Linked DNA regions of Canis lupus familiaris. The protein of the gene in region 2 interacts with the protein of the main gene of each other region in a pairwise test. Links are inferred from orthologs where the notes say so. Each region holds a gene or a part of one and is shown on either strand. Other genes may lie near its edges.

Region 1 (5,579 bases), on a different chromosome or scaffold from region 2:
CACACCTATGTGGGTAGGTACTACATATGTGTCTATGCATGCTCCTGGGTCCTGTCTGTGCCCAGGCAGGCTGGGTCACACACTGTCCTTGAAAAGAGTTACCTGCTGCAGCAAGAGACTCAACCAAGAAATATGGTAAAAGATGAGGTTGAGGGCAAATGCTGGGCAACCCTACTTCCCATGTCCCCCTCCTGCCACCCTCCCCCCAACACACATCTAAGATTATCTTCATGGGGGGGGAGGTGTCTCCACGCAGAGAAATTCCCCTCTGGGAGGAAAGGAAAGGGCTGGAGTTGCTGAGCCTCCCTAACCCAAACCCCTGAGATACATCCTCTGGCCTCAGACCTGGACCCTGACCCTGCAGTCAGAGGCACCCAGAGAGAGTGTGTCACCCCTAAGGAGCTCTGCTTTCTCCCAGGACCCAGAGCTGGGGGGGGGGGGGTCTCAGGCTAACGCGGAGGAGTGAGAGGCAGGCCTGTTGCCACCCTGCACACTCTCCCCCACATCCACACCAAGTAACTCAGCCTGAGGCTCTGGGTCTCCTGATGAGCCAGGGTGAGGGCTAGAAGGCAGTACCTGAAGAACACCCCAGATCCTCACCCCCAAGCAGAGACACTCCCTCCGCCCCAGGAAGAGATGAGGATGCACTGGGCCCTGTGGTGAGGCGCTGCACCTGGAGAGTAGAGCAGTGCTTCTCCTCCGGGTTACTGTCCTGCCCAGCGCTACTCCTATCTGGGGGAGTTGGTCAGCAATCGAGGGGCGGAGGGCAGCCTGGGGTCTAGCTGTGGCCAGAGGCACGGGTCAGGGTCGCACCCTACCACCCTAGCTGCCGTCTATTTATTCAAGACTCTGAGGTCTCGGGGCTGGTTAACAATTGTTCGGCAAAATCCTTCAACAAACTTCACTGTCATAGGAGGATTCCAGAAGGGGATCATTCTCAGAGGTGGGGAGGGGCCGGGCGGTGTCTGCCCCCAGGAGGCCTCGGCGGTGCTGCCGCTCAGCTACTGCTGTGTGAGAGAGAGAAGCTCAAAGGCGGTAGGCTTCCTGGACTGCGGACTCCGGGCTGGGAAACTGCAGGCACCTGGCCTGCTCGCGAGGCCAGGTGCCTGCAGCTCTGGAAAGCCCAGAGGAGGCCCCAGATCGCTACAAACCTGCCCTGAAGGGGGCAGAAGCCAACCCCCTGGCTGCCAAGGCCGGGGCCTGGCTGATTCGGCTGGACTGGTGCAAAACAAGGGAAGAGAGCCCTGCAGAAGAGGCTGTGGGGCCTGGCGGGGCTCTCGGGGTCTCCTGCTGCACTCGCCAGAGGCCTGGAGCCAACAGAAACGTTTCGTCTGATTAGAAGCCATCAGTTCAATCCCAATCCCGGAAAATTGACTGCGGTGCAGAGGGGGAGGCCAGAGAAGCAGCCTTGGACGACAGGGTCCAAGCTAATTAGGAGGCAGCATCCGGGGGCCCATTAGAACGCAGGCTGCTGTCACTCAGCCGGGCTCAGGTCCCGGGAGAAGAGGCCGAGGAAGGAGGGGCCAGCGGCCCCCCGACGGGGACGCCGCCGGGAGCTGCCGGAACGGGCCCCGGGCTCTGCCCCCGCCCTGGCGCTGGCTCGGAGGCGCCCGCTCCGTGCGATCCTGCCCCGGGAACATTCTCTCGTCCTGGGCTGTTCTCGCCGGGGGCTGAGGACTTCGAGGCGGCCCAGACAGGAGTTGATTCTGCGCAAAACAAGTCATCTGGGGCTGGAGGTGGGCACGAGCCGCGCGGGACTTGGAGACCAGATGCGTTTCTTTTGTGCGGCCGAGGGAGAAGTCGGTGTGTCAACGGGGAAGGAGGGAGCGGCGCGGCGCGGCGAGGCCGCGGGGGGTGGGGGGAGGGGGCGGGAGGCGGCGGGAAGGTGGCTGCGGCGGGGGAGGGGGACGGGAGGGGACGGGAGGGGGAGGGGGAGGGCACGGCCGGGGGAGGGCGGGCGGCTCGGGGCCGGATTCCGCCCGCGCTCCCTCGCTCGCCGGCTCCCTCCCTCCCTCCCTCCCTCCTTCCCTCCCTCCCTCCCCCCTCCCCAGCCCCCTCCCACCCGGGCCCACCCCACCCACCACCCCTGGCGCAGGGACTGCTGGAACCTGGCGGTGCGCGCTGTCGCTTTAAGACAGCCTCTGCCGGCGCCGTACGGAGCCTTAGAAACCGGCCCCGGATCGGGAGCCGGAGCCGGGGCCGGGCGGGCGGCAGAGGCCCGAGCGGCGGGAGCGCAGCGCGGAGCGCGAAGCCGGGGATCCGGTCGCGAGAAACCGCTGCCGCCGCCGCCCGCCCGGCCCCGCAGCCCCGGGCGGTCCATGGGGCGGGCGCGGCGTCGCTGCGGGCCCGGGCAGCCCTGGGGGGCAGCCGCTTAGGCGCTGTGCTCTTGTCCCCGCAGGTCGCAGCCAGGGCGGCCGGGCGCGCCCGGCCCCGGCCCCGGCCCCGGCCCCGGCCCCGGCCCCGGCCCCGGGAGCGCCCGCCGCGGTCCCCGCCTCCATGGACGCCTTCAAGGGGGGCATGAGCCTGGAGCGGCTGCCGGAGGGGCTCCGGCCGCCGCCGCCGCCGCACGACATGGGGCCGGCCTTCCACCTGGCCCGCGCCGCCGACCCCCGCGAGCCGCTCGAGAACTCCGCCAGCGAGTCGTCCGACACGGAGCTGCCAGGTAAGCGCGGCTCGGCCCGGCGCGGGGCGGGGAGCGGGGCCTGGCGCCCGCGCCGCACGCTCAGGTTGCCCGAGCCCCGCGAGCTCCGGGACCTCTTCTCCCGGCCTCCGTCGGACCGGGAGCGCGGAAATCTGCGCGCTTGATGAGACGGAATTCCGTGCTCTGCTCCCAGCCGGTGCCCACGCGCCCAGACCCCGGCAGATGCAGGCACCGACCACGGGAGGGTCGGCCCGACAGCCCCTCTTGATCGGGAGCAGACGGAGCCGGAAGAAAAAGAATTCGGTTTGCGCAACGAGTGCCCAGGGGGCCGCTCAGACCGCAGGACAGTAGGTGGAGAGAGGAACGGGGCGGCGGGCGAGAGACGCTGCGCAGGGAGACGGGGTCACACACCCCGACAGGCGGTGGGCACGGATGGAGAGGGAGAAATCCAAGAGAAGGGGTGGCGGGAAAAGTCAGAGAAACAGACTGCGGGGAAGGGGGGACCACCTCAAGTAAAAAAAAAGAGGGCAGCGAGGGCGAGCGGGCCAAGAGGTGCGGCTCAGCTGGCGGGCAGGCCCCCCTCGTGGAGGGACCCGGGAGCCGCCAGGCCGCCCGGCCAGGGCCCGGCTCGGCTGGGGCGCGTCTCCCTCCGCGCCGCCGTTTTGCCCCCCGAACTCAGGCTGCTCCCCCGCAAGCTGGCCGCGAGCGGGGCCGGCGGGTGGGCGGTGCGGGCGGTGGCGCGGCGGATCCTCGGCCGCTCGCGCCCCCGGGTCTCCCGCTCGGATCCCGCGCTCCCCGTCCCGCCGGGCGCCCTGTTCCCCGGGTCGTGGGCGCCTCCGCTGTGCTTTTTTCTTAATCCACCGCTGAGTGTTTCTCTACGCGTTTTTAATCTCTATTTGTTTCTGTTTTGCATCTCTAAGTGACTTTCTCTGAGAGGTTCTGTTTGCTTGGCTAAGAAAAGCAATCCACGCTGGACTGTACTTTTGTTTTCAAAAGTTTGAAGCGTGGCCTTTGGTTGGTTTTTACTTTTTAAAATCTGGAGAAATATACAGCGAGCGATTGCTTTTTAAAACCAACTCCGTGAGGATATATTAAATTTTTTAACTGTGTTTTTCGATATAGAAAGAATCACTACGCGAGGCATATTTCTCTGGAATTTAAAACATCCACATGCAGCATTATTCTTGGAGATTTTTAAAAGTCAATCCAAAATGGCGCGTTTCTCCGGGATTTTTTTTTTCAAAATCCATTTGCAGCAGTGTTAGTTTGGTAATTTATCTAACTATAGTGTTGTATTTCCCTGCGACTTAAAGACTATCCCTAGAAGGGCATTATTAGGAAGGGGCTAAAAAAAAATCTATCTACAACAGTACATTAAGTTGTTTTTTTTTTTATCCCGGAGAAATAAATGCCCGCGTCTGCCTGGAGTTTATACGCGTACAGCACTGTATTTAGTTAGGGGTCTGTTTGCACGGAGGTTTCTTGCTTCTTAATTTGCATTTGCTCTGTGTTCCTACCTGCCTATTTTTAATAGTTTGTGAGCCTTTCCATGGTGTTGGGATAGAATTGAGTTTATCTGGGCTTCTGTATTTTGTTTTTAATTTTTTTGTTTGTTTGTTTCAATGTGTCTATGACTGAATGTGTTTTGTGTACCCTGAGAGAGCGAGAGGCTAGAGCCCCAGGTCACCTAGACAGAGTGTGTGGGTCTGGGCTGCCGCCTGAGGGCTTTTCTGGGCCTCTGGACTTGAGGCCTGGAGCTAAGGCTGAGAACACAGCTGTGTTGTGCCTGCCCAATGTGGCTCCCACACAGCCCTGGGGAGAAGAAAGTAGAGGGGCTGCAGGTTACCGCCTGGCTCCTGCTCCACCGACCCACTGGCTTCAGGCTAGCCAGATTTGATATCAGTTCAGAAGAGCAGAGACACCCCCAGATTTAAATGCCTAAAAGCCCTCAAAATTTCATACATTTGCGGGCGACATAGGCAGTAGGGCTTGAGCCTGAGCCGAGCTGCAAGGGCAGGCCCTGCCCAGTGGGGAACCTAGGCCGGAGCCTCGGGTTCCCTGGCTCTTCGGGGCCGTCCGACCAAAGGTGACTAGTGAGGATCAGGCACCCGACAGGCTCTTTCCAGCGGGAACAAAACTAGGGTTCCTGGCGGGAGGAAGGGCCGCCAGCGCTGATGGCTGGCGCTTCGGTGGAGCCGGGACGGGGTGCGAAAGGGCATAAACCCAAGGTGACTAGGGCCTGTCCTGCCCGATTCAGAGAAGGAGCGCGGCGGGGAAGTCAAGGGGCCGGAGGACAGCGGTGCGGGAGGCGCAGGCTGCGGTGGCGCGGAGGACCCCGCCAAGAAAAAGAAGCAACGGCGGCAACGCACGCACTTCACAAGCCAGCAGTTGCAAGAGCTGGAGGCCACGTTCCAGAGGAACCGCTACCCCGACATGAGCATGCGGGAGGAGATCGCTGTGTGGACCAACCTCACGGAGCCGCGCGTGAGGGTGAGCCCAGCGTGCGCGCCCAAGGGGACCCGTGCGGACCGCTCCTGGCCGGCTCTGCCGCAGCCCTCCAAAAGCTTTAGACCGGCGCTCAGACTTTGTCTCCGTCCCACCACTCTCCACCGGAGAGGAGGATTCAGCTTTAGGCCCGGGTGTTCCGGGTGTTCCGGCGGCTCCTGCTGTGCCCTTTGGTGGTTAGAGCCTTCGGCGGCTGTCGCCTGGCCTATCCTAGTGACCCTCAGGCTCTACTGCAGCCTCACCCCAAGATCTGTGGCCCCATGGGAATTTCCCCTGCCCTGCAGGGCCCAGACCCCATGCGGATGTTAACACCCTAGACTGCACGGAGGATTCCCCGCCAAGGGGGCCCTCGGAGCTGCGGGCCGCCTTCCCCCAAAAACGAAAGGGAAAGGCAGGTCTTGCCTGGCAACCTGGCAGAGGCCTGAAGGGTACC
Region 2 (5,523 bases):
ACCGAGGTACAGTCTCCTCCAAAGGGCCATCAAGTCACCACCTCTTTCTTGTAAGACGAAAAACTACAGGCAGCTTTGAAATGGCAGCTTTTCCAGCTTCAGGGAGCACCCAACTGCCCTCTAGATTTGGTTCATCCAGGAATCGAGGTTTGGGGTTCCATGTGCTTTCCTGAACTTGCCAACGGCTTTCCTCCTCTCTTGTCCAAGGATTGCCCTATTTCCCCTGGCTCGAGACCCCTGCGGCAGAGTGTCGGTGCGCTGGCCGACTCCCTGCGGTCTCCTCCAGAAAAGGAGAGGCTGGGTAGAAAACTGAGGGATCAGAGAAAAGATGTTGGAGAGTCTGTGCCACATGAGATCCCCTTTATTGTTCACAGCAGTGGTTCTTAACCTGTTTTGGGGCTGTAGAGTCCTTAGAGAATCTGATAACAGCCAGGGATTCTCTCCCTGCGCCCCACCCCCATGATGAAAAGACCATTCCTGCAATTTATCCTACGTCCTACAGATAGGTATTTGTTGAACTAGATTCCCACAGGATTTTGCTTCCGCACTTAATCAAGCTCCCCACCTCACCAGCGTCTCTATTCTTCAAGCTCAGACTAGGTTTCTCCTCCTCAGGGGAGCCTACACTCATCGTCTTTGGCCTTAGCAGCTATTGCCAATGTCAGCTTCTTCCACCTGAATCCAGGTACAGAGGTCCTCCTTTCCCTTTTATTATTTTTTTCCCCTGCTGGGATAGCTGGCAAAAGTTAATAAAAGGACAGGGAGGACAGGGCACCTGGTGGCTCAGTCAGGAGCGAGCATGTGGCTCTTGGACTCAGGGTTGTGAGTTTGAGCCCCACGTGAGATTACTTAAATAAATAAACTTTAGGGGCCCCTGAGTGGCTCAGCGGTTGAGCGCCTGTCTTTGTTTGGCTCAGGTAGTGATCCTGGGGTCCTGGGATCGAGTCCCGCATCGGGCTCTCTGCAGGGAGTCTGCTTCTCCCTCTGCCTATCTCTGCCTCTCCGTGTCTCTCATGAGTAAATAAATACAATCTTTTAAAAATAATAAACAAACAAACCTTAAAAATAAGAGCTAATAAAAGGACAAGTGGAAGTTTAAGGGGTAGGGGCTGCTGGGGTCTGCTGGAGCCAGGTCTGTGGCTGGTCTCTGCTACACTAGCTGTGTCTCTGGACAAGGCAAGCTGAACGAACCTTCCCCAACCTCGGTTTCCTCCTCTGAAAACGGGGACTAAAAATCCCACCCGAGTTGTCCAGAGAATCGGACCTAAGGTGTGCAAAGCACTGTTCCTAGCACTTAAATGTGAGCTCTTCTTACTCTGATCACTCATAAAAGACAAGTTGCTTCCCAGCGCCTCCCCAAGTCTCCGAGTACTGTCCATGGTAAGGGGTTTGCCGGTGGCTCCCCGGGCAGTCCCGAGAGCCGTCCCTTCCCGTTCCAGCGGCGCGCCGAGCCCCCCCGCTTCTCTGGGCGGGGCGCTGCCTCCTCCCCAGAACCCTCCTTCCTGCGCCCCAGGTGGCGGCGGCCGCGCGGCACCGCAGTGACCTGTTTCTCTCCGCCAGCCCCCAACACGCACCTTCATCCACTGGCCCGGCTTCGCAGCTCCGTCCACCAGCCCCTCCGGTCACGCCCTCCTCGGGAGCTGCTCAGCGGCGCCGCCCGCGGGTCCGACCCCGCGGCCGGCAGCAGGTCCGCGCAGGCGGGGCTCCCCGCGGGTCCCCAGCCCACGTGCTCCCGACCTCTGCCGCAAGGCGCCGCCCTCCCGCTGGGCGCAGCGCGGACTACATTTCCCAGAGCACTCAGCGGCGGGGCCTTGGCCCAGCGGGGGCCTCGAGCGGCGCGCCGGTCCGCCGCCTGCGCGGGGGCGCGCGGGCTGGCGCGGGGACGGGACCAGGGACCCGGAATGAGTTTCCGCGCAGTTCCGCTGTGCCGGGCCGGGCTGGGCTGTGCCGGGCCGGGCCGGGCCAGGGCAGGCGCGGGGGGAGGGCGGCGCCTGAGGCGGCGGTGCGGGGGACAGGCGCCGGGGGCAGCCCGCGCCTCGCTGAGGTCCCCGCCCCGTCCCGGCCGGGCCGGCTCGCCTGTCAGTCACTGGGGCGGCGGCGGCGGCGGCGGCGGTAGCGGGGCCGGAGCCGGGCGGAGGGGAGAGCGCGGGCCGGGCCGGGCGGAGGGGACCTGCCACCGCCCCTCAACTCTACGGACTCTTCGCCGCAGACTCGCGGGGCTGCAGCCCTGCGCCCCGTCGGACGCCTCCGTAACCCGCGGAGGGCTCGCTCCGCCGTCACCCCCGCCCCGTGACCTCCTCGCAGGACCCGGCAGCGCGCTCACACGAGGGTGTTGTGGGTACAGGCCGTCGACCCTGTGACCGGCCCGGGGCCCGGGGCTCGCCCCCCACCCCGGCCTGCCTTCCCAGGGACTCCTGCCTCGTAGATTGTGGGCACAGACCCGTGACCTGCCGCCGACACCCCGCCTGCGGACTCTTCACTGCCGGCCCCTCCCCCAGGCCCCCTCGGTTGGCCTCCCCCTGCGAACACCCCTTTGGGCGTCTGGCAAGCCCCCCATCCCCGCCCGAGGTGGGGCGGCCTCGGCAGCCATGCCCGCCCTGGGCCCCCTGGCACCCCGCCGCTTCCTGGGCACCCAAGCCGGGGTCTAGCAGGGGGCCAGCAGCCAAGGGGCTGGGGCCGGAGGCAGGTCGGGATCCAGCTCCCTGCCGGGGAGGGAGCAAAGATGGAGCGGCGGGAGGAGCAGCCGGGGGCTGCAGGGGCTGGAGCAGCACCAGCCTTGGACTTCACTGTGGAGAACGTGGAGAAGGTACGAGGGCCCGGGGGTGGGCCGTCTGGTGACAGAGCAGAAGTCCTGGGGCCCGGCTCGGATGCCAGAGCCAGGCTTGGGCCGGCTGCCTGCTGGGCTGGTGCCCCAGGGCACCTGGCACTTGCTGCCTCTCTGGGCAGGGCGGACAGCAGTGTGGTGGCCTCCGAATGGGCTATTTTTGGCTTTCCTTAGATATGGGTTCCCTGTGGCTACTCTAGGGTCTTGGGATGGTCCCTCCAGGGTGCGGGTAGCCCAGACCTACAGCCAGCCTGGCTGTCCTCCAGCTCCATGGGAACTGCATGAGCAGCGCAGTAGGAACCCGGGAGACCTACAGCTCAGTCCCCGGGAACCATACAGATGCTGAGCCATCCTGGACCTGTGTTGTGACCCAGCGGCTCAGGAGATAACCCGAGACTGAAACAGCCTGGGCTGTTTTCCCTTTTTCTTGGGGAAGGGTCCTTCTTGTGTTGGATGGAGGCCAGACCAGTCCTGGGCAGGCAGGAAGGGCTGGCCCCCTTTGTTTTGTGCTGGGTCCAGGGGGTTCAGTCCTGCTGGCAGCTTCAGGGTCCCTTCCCTGCTCTCCTGCCCACACAGCCTCCTGTCATGGCCTCCCCAGGCTCTCCCACTGCCCAGGCCGTCTTCTTTGAACTGTTTCTCTGGCTCTTTACTGTGTTCTGCCCCAGGGGGGCCTGGGATGCAGAAATGCCTCCCTGCTGGGATGAATGGGAAGATTGGGGTACCACGCAGGAAAGCAAGGAATGGTTGCAGATACTCATTTGTTATTCTTGAGCCCTTTTTGCCATACCACATGATGGGAATGCATCCCTTCTGCCTTGCTCTGCCTGCCTCAGCATCCCCGAGGGGCCAGACAAGGGACAGTAGCTGTAACTTGCCATCAGAGGTATGGATATGGCTAAGCCTACATAGATGGATCCTGCTTAGGGAGTCAGAGTCCTGACCTGGCTGTTCCACCCCCTGGGACTGGGCGGTGTTGGCATGGTGGCGCTCTCTTCCGTGTGCTACCAGGGAGACAAACCACTGTGTTCTTGCTGTGTGAAGTCCCTGTGGAATTGGGACCCTGGAGATTTGGCTAGTTGAGAGCTCCAGACAAGACATTTGCCAGGGCTCTCGGCCAAGACTTCTTCACTAGCTTTTCGGACCCTCACGTGTGCTCTCTGAGGGGTGTCCTCACCCTCCCTTCCAGTACGTCTCTGGCCTACGGCCGCCTGGCAAAGTCTTAGTCCTGCTCAGATTTCACACTGGCTTTGGTGCCAGCATCTGGAGTGACCTAGAGATGATGGGAAGCTGAATAGGACTCTTGGAGTTGATGGGAGCAGCTGTGCCTGGGAGGGTCACAGCCCCTCAGGCTGTTCCATGCTCTTTTCAGGCTTAGCTTCATCCCTTTGGAGCCATTCCTTCAACCTGGGCCTTATCCTTTACCTCAGGTGCCTCCCCTTTGGAGAGCTCAGCCTCCGCTTTTTCTGCTTTTTTATGGAGGTTCACTCTCTGGCCCATAGTGTTTTGCTATAAGAAGAAGAGAATATGGCAGAGCGTGGGCAGAGTTCAGGCTCTCAAGATGTCAGTAGGACCCTGGGCCCTTCCTGCTGAGCCCCTCGGTCAGAAACAAAGAGCAGACTTGCAGGACCAAGTCATGCCCTCTGTTCTGGGCTCTGGCAGGACCCAGAGTGGTCAGCACTTGCTCAGTCCTGTGCTGTCCTGCAGGCGCTGCACCAGCTCTACTATGATCCCAACATTGAGAACAAGAACCTGGCTCAGAAGTGGCTGATGCAGGCCCAGGTCTCCCCACAGGCCTGGCACTTCAGCTGGCAGCTACTGCAGCCCGACAAGGTGCCTGAGATCCAGTACTTTGGGGCCAGTGCCCTACACATCAAGATCTCTCGCTACTGGAGTGACATTCCCACTGACCAGTATGAAAGTCTAAAGGCACAGCTCTTCACCCAGATCACCCACTTTGCTAGTGGCTCCAAGATTGTGCTGACTCGGCTGTGTGTGGCGCTGGCCTCCCTGGCTCTCAGTATGATGCCTGACGCTTGGCCATGTGCTGTCGCAGATATGGTACGGCTCTTCCAGGCTGAGGACTCACCGGTGGATGGCCAGGGCCGCTGCCTGGCCCTACTGGAGCTGCTGACAGTGCTGCCAGAGGAGTTCCAGACAAGCCGTCTGCCCCAGTACCGCAAAGGCCTGGTGCGGGCCAGCCTGGCAGTGGAGTGTGGGGCTGTCTTCCCATTGCTAGAGCAGTTGCTACAGCAGCCCAGCTCACCCAGCTGTGTGCGTCAGAAGGTGCTCAAGTGCTTTTCCAGCTGGGTGCAGCTGGAGGTACCACTGCAGGACTGTGAGGCGCTCATTCAGGCTGCCTTTGCTGCTCTGCAGGACTCGGAGCTCTTCGACAGCAGTGTGGAGGCCATTGTCAATGCCATCTCGCAACCTGATGCCCAGAGGTGAGCTGGTCCCCATCTTCCCAGAGAAGGACAGCTTGTTTGGCCATCCATCCATCCATCCATCCATTCAATAAACACTAATTGAGTGCCTACTGCATATGCGGTCCTATGCTGGAGATACACAAGGAGGCAAACAAGACACGGTCCTTATGGTTCAAATAGGGAGACAGACAACTAACCATCCAACGAATTATTCATTACAGTATTTGACTCTTTCTTCTTTTTCTCTCAACCAATCAGTCGCCAAGTCCTGGCTGT
Region 3 (5,517 bases), on a different chromosome or scaffold from region 2:
AAAAAATGAGTCTACCAGCCTTTGTTGAGAGGCAGCTTCCAGGCTGTGGGGCACTTGAAGCTGAGGATCTCCAAGGGGGTGGGAAGTGAGGGAGGGCCCAGAGCTTACAACAGATTTTTATGACTCATACATTCATTAAGAACCCTGGGAGAAGGGAAGAACTTTGAGCCTGACAGTTTTGACAGAGGAGTCCTCAACCCTAGTCTAATAACCCTCCTAAGCCTCTCATAAAGGTAGCCAAAGCAGATGAAATGAATTATGCAGAAACTGTAAAATGTTGTAAAATTTATTATTATAAAAAAACAAGGCTATGCATGATAGAGCAAAATACTCAGACAATCCTTGGCAAATGAGATAAAATTTCCTGCCTGACTTGTCTCATACAAGAAATGGATGAGCTCATCATCAGGGAATGGTTCCAAATCAGAAAATGCAGAACTGTACCTTCTCCAGGAAGAGCTTAGGGTATAGCTGAAGGTCAGAAGATCATTCAAGAAGACTGCTTATCCCTCACATAGGAAGTCTTCAGCTGACTTGGGCTGAATCTAAACTAAAGTGAAATATTCCAAAGTCCCTTACAGTCCACTGTGTAGCCCAAAGGAAGAACAATATACAGTTCACTATTCCAAGACTATCATGACAAAATGAATCATGCACAAGCACTTGGAGATGCCTTCCAAATAATGCAGAAAGGTGTAAGTAAGAATTCTGGTTTAAGGAGAATAGGTGTGCTTTCCCTCTTTAAGCACGCTTACGGTGACAAAATAGTTTGAAAGGGCCTTGAATGTGAGATGAAAAATTCTTTCTTGCTAGACAGTTAAGCTGAACTGACTCCAGGGCTATGAAGGGGTCAGGGTGCACCAAGAAAGGGCAGGGGCAGAAAGACTTGCAAAAGCCTCACCCAGTCGGTTGATCAGGACAGACACAATCTGCTCCCCCTCCCAGGTTGATAATCTACCAGGCTGCAAAGTTTTACTATGAGGAAAAGACCCACCCAAGCTATCTGCCTGGAGTGGAGTAAGTGATCCACCTGAGGACTGAAGACTGTTGTCTGAACTTGGGTGGCTTTTAGAGCTATATCCAAAGAAGGGGGGCAGATCTGAAGCTTCTAAGTCTCAAAATAAAAGCCCCAGGGGCCTTTCTACCTCAAAAAGAAACCAGGAACCAGCTACCTAATAACCACGTTGTCATGCATGTATAATGCTCCACTATTCAATGTCCTAGCCTTAAAAGAAAAAGAAAAAGCTGTCTTCAAGAATAGCAAGGAAGAGGTCACTGACTGCACACCATTCTAAAGTCTATCTAGGGGAGTACTGGATTGCTGTAAGAAGAAGAGTGCACCTTGGGGTTGTAATGGGGTGACAGATGCTTGAGGAAGGCCACACCTGAGCAGAGCTAACTCCTTAAGCAGCTCCCTACCTAGAACAGAAAGAACTTGGGAGCTCCATAAACACCCAAAGCACTGTCTCTGTGATTCCTGGGTGTGAAGAGCCCATTTCCATCTCCCCAGCTCCTCCTTTTTTTTTTTTTTTTTTTTTTAATTTTTATTTATTTATGATAGTCACAGAGAGAGAGAGAGAGGGAGAGAGGCAGAGACATAGGCAGAGGGAGAAGCAGGCTCCATGCACTGGGAGCCTGATGTGGGATTCGATCCTGGGTCTCCAGGATCGCGCCCTGGGCCAAAGGCAGGCGCCAAACCGCTGCGCCACCCAGGGATCCCTCCCCAGCTCCTCCTAATCCTTCCAGAATCTGAAGTGCCACAAACTTTACTACATGATAGGTGCCAGGCATTGTGCATAGTCCTGGGAATACAAAGGAAAATAAGACAAAGCCCCTGCTCTCAGACAAGTCTAGCAGACAGGGTATCACACAGGGCACCCCCTCTCTAGGCCCATCTCTTTTTTCCCCTGGTGCCAGGAATCACCTCTAGTCAGCACACACTTATTATGATAACTATTTATAAATCAGTCTCCCACGCACCCCACTTTTCAATGATGTCTGAGAGGGCAGAGAACATCTTAGCCAACTTGGTTTCTCTAGCACCTAGCACAGTGCTCCAAAACGTAGAATGAACATAGTAAGGGAGGAGGATAATAATACTCTTAACTTTCCAGAAAGAGTCTATGAAACTGCAGAAAGTGGACAATCCACAAGAAGCAAAGGAAAGTGAGAAGAACAAATGCATGCTGAATCCATCTTTTCTTTGCCTCCTCCTTCCTGTGGCTGCTGTTCACTTGGCTTTGACATAACCCCTCCTCACTAGAGGGCTCTAGCGACTGCACCAGACCCTAGTCCCAGCCCCAGGGACCATCCTTCACACCCAAATAGGCCCCATCCTCCAAAAGGACTTTGGTCCTTTCCTATTTTCCAATAATTTGAGCAGGCCCCCAACACAATGGGTTGCCTTGTGAAGCCGATTCTACTGTTCCTGGCTGGCTGACAAGTGGTGGGTGGAAGCAAGTAGGACAGGTCGTCTTAAAACTGCTATGGTTTTTCCCAGCGCAATTGAAATAAAATCCAAACTCCTTCCTAAGACTTGTGGGTCCTGTGTGGTCTGGTGCCAACCCCTCCCCAAACTGAACTTGGGATTTTAAGTCTCTGGCTCTGCTTTCTCTTCCAGCTCTTTCCCGCTCCCGGGGGCCCGAAAGCGCCGTGTCCTCAACACCTGACTTCCCATAGCATGCCATCCCTTTTCTCAGAGCTTTTCTCACAATGTATACTTGGTTTTTGCTACTTTCTCTCCCTCACTACTAGGAGTCTGAGAGAAGGGACTGTGTCAGCAACCCAGCTGGGTGTCCCACACAGTATCTAATGCATATTTGCTGAGTTAATAAAAAGGCGGCCCTCCATCCCCACCCAGCAGCTCCTCCACTAACCCTTTTTCCTGATGGTTCCCACACCAAGTCACCCCCATCTCCTCATCCGTAAGTCCCACTGCCCACAACTCACTCTCCATCATCTCTCTCAAAACTTCCCACCTCAGAAGTCTCACTAATGCATCCATTTAGCTGTCCATCCTTCACAAATCCCATCTCTCAGCCCTTACACCTTCCTTCTTTCCTCTTAACCCTTACATTTCATAAGCCTCAAACTGCCTTTCACCATATACCTCCCCATCCACAAACTCCCCTTAAACCCATCCCTCTCACCCCAGGATGGGCCCCTAAAACCCATCACCCGCTGCTTAGCCCCATAAGCCTTTCAATCTGTCGCAGTTTAACCTCATAAATCCCTTCGGCCTCAGAACCCGGCCCCCCTCAGCTTCCCCGAGCCCCCACATCTCCCCTCTCACGCTCTCACCCTGCACCCTCCTCACCCCTCAGCCTCCAGTCAACTTGGCCTTGGCCCCTGGGCCCGCCCCCTTCTCTGCCGCCACTCTGGGTGGCCCCGGCCCCCGCCCCCGTCGAGCCCGCGCAGCACCTGGCCTGCGCCTCCTCCAGGCTCTGGTCGGTGATGGCCATGATCTGCTGCAGGACCTCGCCTGTGTCGGGGCCCGGCGGGGGCCCGGGCGGCGGGCGGCGCGGGGCCGGGGGAGGCGGCGCGGGGCGCTGCGGGCGCGGAGGGGACTCCATGGGCGGCGGGGCCGGGCCGGCGCTGACACGGTGCCGCCGGGCCTGGAGCGCTCACAGGTCGCCGCAGCCAACCACCGCCCCCCGCGCGCTGTGCGCGCGCGCGCCCAGACCCCACCCCTCGCCGCTGCCTCCCGCCAACCGCCGCCAGCCAGGCCGCCGCGCCCCGCCCACGGACACGCCCCGCCGCCTCCGCCAGCCAACTGCCGCCGCCCGGGCCGCCGCGCCCCGCCCACAGACGCGCCCTCAACAGCTCCCTTCAGCGGCCCAGGACTCGGCTGGGAGTTGCCGAGGCAACGGCTCTTCGCACCCACACCCTCCTCCTTCCACCCCTCAGCTCTCCGCCTTCCTCACCAGCTCAGAGCAAGGACTCCCGCTTAGGGACCTTAATCCTTCCTGGGGCCCTCACGTCTCCTCAGAGCCCCTGCCCCTCCTCGGAGAGGTCCCGCATTTTCTCAGAGACCCTCAAGTCTGAGTCCACCGCCCCCGCCGACATCGCCGCAGAGCCCTTACTCCCCTGCAGAGCTCCCACTCCTCACAGGTCTCCACTCAGATGCCCCCACTTCCTCAGGAACCCACATCTCTTCCCAGTCCCCACTTTTCAGAGAACCCCACTCCTCCTTCAAACCACCCCTTCCTTCTCAGAAATCCTGAGATTTCTCAGATCCCCACCAAAACCCACCATCTTCAGAAGCCCTGAGACCCAGGCCCCCCCTCAGTACCCTAAGGGTCCCCTCAGTCTCCGCCCCATCAGGTGGGTCCCTAGGGCTCCCGACCTCCTGGCTCTACCCCCCTCTCCCCGGAGCTTTTGACGAGGGGTGCAGTTGTGTGTGGTGATGGTGGCTGGAAGATTTGCACGGAGAGATTTTTCTCTGCTACACAAATCAATTCTCTTTTCAAGGTCCAGCTTATAAATGACCTCTGGTTTATCCATTCTCTCCATCAACTGCAATCTGACCCTAGAACACCCAAGCAGACTTATTGAACTACTGAAGGATGCTTCCTGAGGGTCTCCTCTGAGGTGTACCCCAAGTAACAGTGAATCTCCACAAGTCTTGGTTTCTAGCCATTAGTGCTCACTGCATCAGAGAAGGATCGTCGAGTGAGAGAAAAGGAACCGACTGGACACGAATCACTTCTCCAAAGTCACTGGGACCTGGTGGAGCCTCTGCTCTGAGGACAGATTCCAGACGCAGTCTCATAAAGGTCCTCAGCCTCTCTGCGAACCCTTTGGGGTAGGGCCCACCTTCTTCCCATTGCTGCTGGAGAGGAAACTCAAACACCATCTGGTGTGATTGGATTGGAGGACTCCAAAAAAGACAGCAGGGAATGGAAATGAATGATAGAGGCTGGTGTTAGGAACCACTTCAAAAGCTCTCTGGTGGGGTTCCTGGGTGGCTCAGTGGTCAAGCGTCTACTTTTGGCTCAGGTCATGATGGGGGGTAGGCCCTGGGATCGAGTCCCACATCAGGCTCCCCACAGGGAGCTTACTTCTCCCTCTGCCTATGTCTCTGCCTCTCTCTCTCTGCATCTCTCATGAATGAATAAAATCTTAAAAAAAAAAAAAAAAAAAAAAAAAAAAAGCACTCTCTGATTAAGGAAACTCAACACTGGGTCCCAATAAGAGAAAGTACTAGAATTTGTGGGGACCATGGAGGGTTGTTGCCCTGCACAAAAGTTCAGCAGCTAGTGCAGCCCTACACAGGAAGCCTAAGTTATGGGTAATTTTGGTGTCTTTCAGAGAACAGTGGTGGAAGCAGGGGGTTGAAAGCTTTAGGGATCAAAGGTTGAAGGGAAGAGAGACCTACAAGAGAGAGAAAAACCAATGGGACAAGATGCCAAAGGAGACCAGAGGACTATGGGTTAGAACTGGGGGATGCTGATGCAAGAGCAAGTGAAACACAGCTACCTTTGGGCTCTCCACCCTATAGGAATTGGTGTTGACACC
Region 4 (3,761 bases), on a different chromosome or scaffold from region 2:
TGCTCTTGGACTGTAGGGCTATTCCCAGGCCTCTTTGGGAGGCTCCAAGTTATTCCAGATTTCTCTTACTGTCCTATTCTTTTTGTTCCAGATGGCTGCCAGCAACAGGAAGGAGGGGGAGAGAATACCAACTCCATCAGTTCCAACGGAGAAGATTCAGATGAGGCCCAAATGCGACTTCAGCTGAAGCGGAAGCTGCAGAGAAATAGAACATCCTTTACCCAAGAGCAAATTGAAGCCCTGGAGAAAGGTGATGGAGTTTTTCAAAGTAGAGAAGCAGTAAATCAAACTAAATGCCACATCTTCAGTACAAAGAGCTATATTTAGCCAGGGCCCTTTGCATAGAGAACTGAAAAGGTTTTTCTTTTTTCTTTCTTTCTTTCTTTTTTTTCCTGGGCATCTTTTCAGTGTGTGTGTGTGTTTTCTTTCTTCTTTTCATGTACCAGTAATTCAAAGAGTGAGAGTCTGACTTCTCATAAAGAAAAAAAATGATGATTTGGCTCATTCAGGCCACTGCAGGGTCCTCGAATGAATGTCATTCCAAAGAAAATTTAACTTGGTTCGAGTGGGATAGCTCTTTCAAGCATCAGTCAATGCCTGGACTAGTAGCATTTGTAAGGGGATTGGTTGGAGGTGACAGAAATGGGGAGGTGGGAACCAGCTTGATCTAGGGCTTGGTTGACACATTTTGTGTCGTTCTGGCGCAACACGGAAAACTCAACTTACTCTTTCAGAGTTTGAGAGAACCCATTATCCAGATGTGTTTGCCCGAGAAAGACTAGCGGCCAAAATCGATCTACCTGAAGCAAGAATACAGGTACCCAGGGACCACGTGGTGTCATGCTTTGTGACTCCTACCATTTGCCCTTTCTGGAGACAAAGGTGCTTCCGAGGAGCACCATTCATTTATATAAACAGTAGAAGATTCAGTCTGCTAAATGATTTGCTGCCCCTGGGGGACTGGTCCTGGGGGTGGGGAGGGGTGGAGGTGCCAGGGGGGAGGTTAAGCTGGGAGTAGGCAAAGGCCTAACCCCTTCCATCTGATTTCCAGGTATGGTTTTCTAATCGGAGGGCCAAATGGAGAAGAGAAGAAAAACTGAGGAACCAGAGAAGACAGGCTAGCAACACACCCAGTCACATCCCCATCAGCAGTAGTTTCAGCACCAGTGTCTACCAACCTATCCCACAACCCACCACGCCTGGTAATTTGCATATTCATTCTCCTCCTACTAAATGTGTCTAACCTATTTGTCCTGGCTCGGACTTTCAGCATGATTGTCTGTACTGTCCTTCTCCTGCAGTTTCCTCCTTCACCTCTGGCTCCATGTTGGGCCGGACAGACACAGCCCTCACAAACACGTACAGCGCTCTGCCGCCCATGCCCAGCTTCACCATGGCGAATAACCTGCCTATGCAAGTAAGTGAGGCCCCTGGCTGGCTGTGGAACGGCCCCGGAGAAGCGAGGAGTGGGTCAGGGCCTGCAGACCTCACTGGCCATGCATACGCCCTCGGGAGCCTTTCTCACTGCGGTGATTGGCCTCACCAGTCAAGTTTTAACACTCAGTCCAGTCTTTGAGCTGGATTGATGGATTGACTGATGCATGCTCTGAAAAAACCCATAAAAACCAAGTTAATCCGCCTCTTGCTCAGAGAGAATGGTAGCTTCATAATGTTGGGTGGGGATGGGGAGTGTTTTGGGTACCGGTGAAATTTGTACCAGAAAGCAGAAACAATGCTGGCACATTATTGGATAGTAAGGGGTTGATATACGTAAATCTGGGTTTTATTAATATGTTCATATTAATGAATACATAACTGGTGTATGCATTTTGGATATTATTTAGAGTATATGTGATAAACTAGGGAGGAAGGAGAAAAGGATCAGAAATAAGATTTATATTTGCATCGTAGGATATACTTTAATAGGGAAGAACAATGAGTTTTCTCTCTGTATCTTACAATAAGAAAAGGGATAGAGGTATTTGCTAAAAGTTTAGCGTGTCTTTGTGACGTCATTACATAAATGATGTAATGCGTCTGTGGCACTCCTGGCTGCCTGGCTGTGTTGATGTTCTTCACTTGGTCTAACAAACTGCCTCTATTCTCAGCTCTGTGGAGAATGCTTGTCAGCTCCTCTGCATGCAAGGCCCTGTCCTGGGCTACTAGCCCTTTCTGATGGAAGTTGCATGAGGCAGGTGGGGTTGACTACAACTTTGGAGGGGGATGGATTCTTGATGGAAAAAAACAAACAACTGATCTTTTGGTGGGCCTTCTATAAAGCAGGGCCTTCCATGGTGACTTTCCCAGGGCTCCTGTTTGTGCAGTACCTGGAAGGTGCCGGATGGTGAGAGACTGGCCAGCCTGAGCCCCTGCTGGAAACAGTGCTGGGGTTCCACAGACTGTTTACTCACCACTGAATGTCTTTTGACGAATTTAAACTCCAGATAACAAAGAAACAAAAAATAGATGTTTCACAGTCTTCAGACTAAAATAGGAGCAGCTAGGGAAGCAACTTCAGAGGAATTATTCACATGTTGATTTTTATTGCATCTGGATATTAACGGCCATAGATCAACTAATATATGTTAAGGAATTAAAGGCCCATTGGTTGGTGTTCCTGCAACTGCTTTGGAATTTTCCAGAAGCCAGGTTGCTTCCAGGAAATGATTTTGGGAATTAGCAACAAATGCAAGCTGAAATACTGGCAGGGCCCCAAAGGCCTGCTTGCCTCTTTGAACCTGATGTTCACAGTCGTCCTCTGACTAGAATAAGGCAACTGAATGTCTTGTTTGGTCTTGCAAATTATGGCAGCATCTTGGTTTCTGCCAAGACAACAAAATTTGTATGTGAGAAAACACTTAGAAGCAGTTACATAGGTGCTGCCGCTCTACTAAGGTCGTTTCCACCTATAGACTGGTGTGGGGTCCACCTATTTCAGATGCTAACTTTTGAAAGTTACACAACTTATCTAAAAATAAAACGTAAGAAAATGAAAAAGTTATTAGTAATTCCACCTTTCAGAGAAAATGTACTTTCTGAATTTTGGATTTGGGGGGCGGTGCTGGTCTGTCTGTCCATCAGTTCATCCTGTTAACCAAAATCTTCGACCATTTTGCAAAGGGTAGGTGTCTTCCTCTGAACCTTCTCTAGTGTGTCCCCCTTTCTGAGATGGTGAATCTTGAAAAGTTCAACATTTCTGCAGTTTGCAGAACAGAGTAGTGCTATCATCTCCCTTCTTCCTGGCATTAGGTTTCTATTAATTCCTCCAATCTTGCTGGCCTGGCATAGCTCCGTGTGAGCTCCTGAGGGATTTTTGTCTCAGCTCTGTGTATCTCTTATTCACCTAGGAGAAAGTGAATTAGAAACCTCTTTAATGTCCCCAGTCCAGACACTTAGAGGGTAGTTTACGGATAAAACCGAAACTGGGGGGATCCCTGGGTGGCGCAGCGGTTTGGCGCCTGCCTTTGGCCCAGGGCGCGATCCTGGAGACCCGGGATCGAATCCCATGTCGGGCTCCCGGTGCATGGAGCCTGCTTCTCCCTCTGCCTGTGTCTCCGCCTCTCTCTCTCTCTCTTTCTCTCTCTCTCTCTGTGACTATCATAAAAAACAAACAAACAAACAAACCCAAAAAAACCGAAACTGGGCTTTTAGATCTATAAGGAAGTCACAGCTAATTTTTAGGAGAGGGCTAGATGTTTACTGACACTTCTGACCATTTTAATCTGAGATCATTACTGATCTGCCTCTTTAAAGAATCTTTA

The links.
Region 1: the proteins of IPO13 (region 2) and PITX1 interact in binary tests that used the Homo sapiens proteins (3 or more experiments, as listed by UniProt). The link is inferred for Canis lupus familiaris from reciprocal best matches to the Homo sapiens genes IPO13 and PITX1.
Region 3: the proteins of IPO13 (region 2) and PBX4 interact in binary tests that used the Homo sapiens proteins (3 or more experiments, as listed by UniProt). The link is inferred for Canis lupus familiaris from reciprocal best matches to the Homo sapiens genes IPO13 and PBX4.
Region 4: the proteins of IPO13 (region 2) and PAX6 interact in a two-hybrid assay, tested with the Homo sapiens proteins (2 studies listed by BioGRID and IntAct). The link is inferred for Canis lupus familiaris from reciprocal best matches to the Homo sapiens genes IPO13 and PAX6.

What each region holds. Positions count from the first base shown.
Region 1 is NC_049232.1:23,086,419-23,091,997, reverse strand, and holds the start of PITX1 (pituitary homeobox 1), read left to right. Parts: upstream 1-2,404; 5' UTR 2,405-2,496; coding exon 2,497-2,662; intron 2,663-4,898; coding exon 4,899-5,131; intron 5,132-5,579. UniProt on the Homo sapiens protein: Sequence-specific transcription factor that binds gene promoters and activates their transcription. May play a role in the development of anterior structures, and in particular, the brain and facies and in specifying the identity or structure of hindlimb.
Region 2 is NC_049236.1:16,405,550-16,411,072, reverse strand, and holds the start of IPO13 (importin-13), read left to right. Parts: upstream 1-2,093; 5' UTR 2,094-2,722; coding exon 2,723-2,806; intron 2,807-4,528; coding exon 4,529-5,265; intron 5,266-5,523. UniProt on the Homo sapiens protein: Functions in nuclear protein import as nuclear transport receptor. Serves as receptor for nuclear localization signals (NLS) in cargo substrates.
Region 3 is NC_049241.1:44,060,211-44,065,727, reverse strand, and holds the start of PBX4 (pre-B-cell leukemia transcription factor 4), read right to left. Parts: upstream 3,573-5,517; coding exon 3,421-3,572; intron 3,336-3,420; exon of another isoform or gene 3,317-3,335; intron 1,508-3,316; exon of another isoform or gene 1-1,507.
Region 4 is NC_049239.1:36,061,094-36,064,854, forward strand, and holds part of PAX6 (paired box gene 6), read left to right. Parts: intron 1-91; coding exon 92-250; intron 251-734; coding exon 735-817; intron 818-1,051; coding exon 1,052-1,202; intron 1,203-1,301; coding exon 1,302-1,417; intron 1,418-3,761. UniProt on the Homo sapiens protein: Transcription factor with important functions in the development of the eye, nose, central nervous system and pancreas. Required for the differentiation of pancreatic islet alpha cells.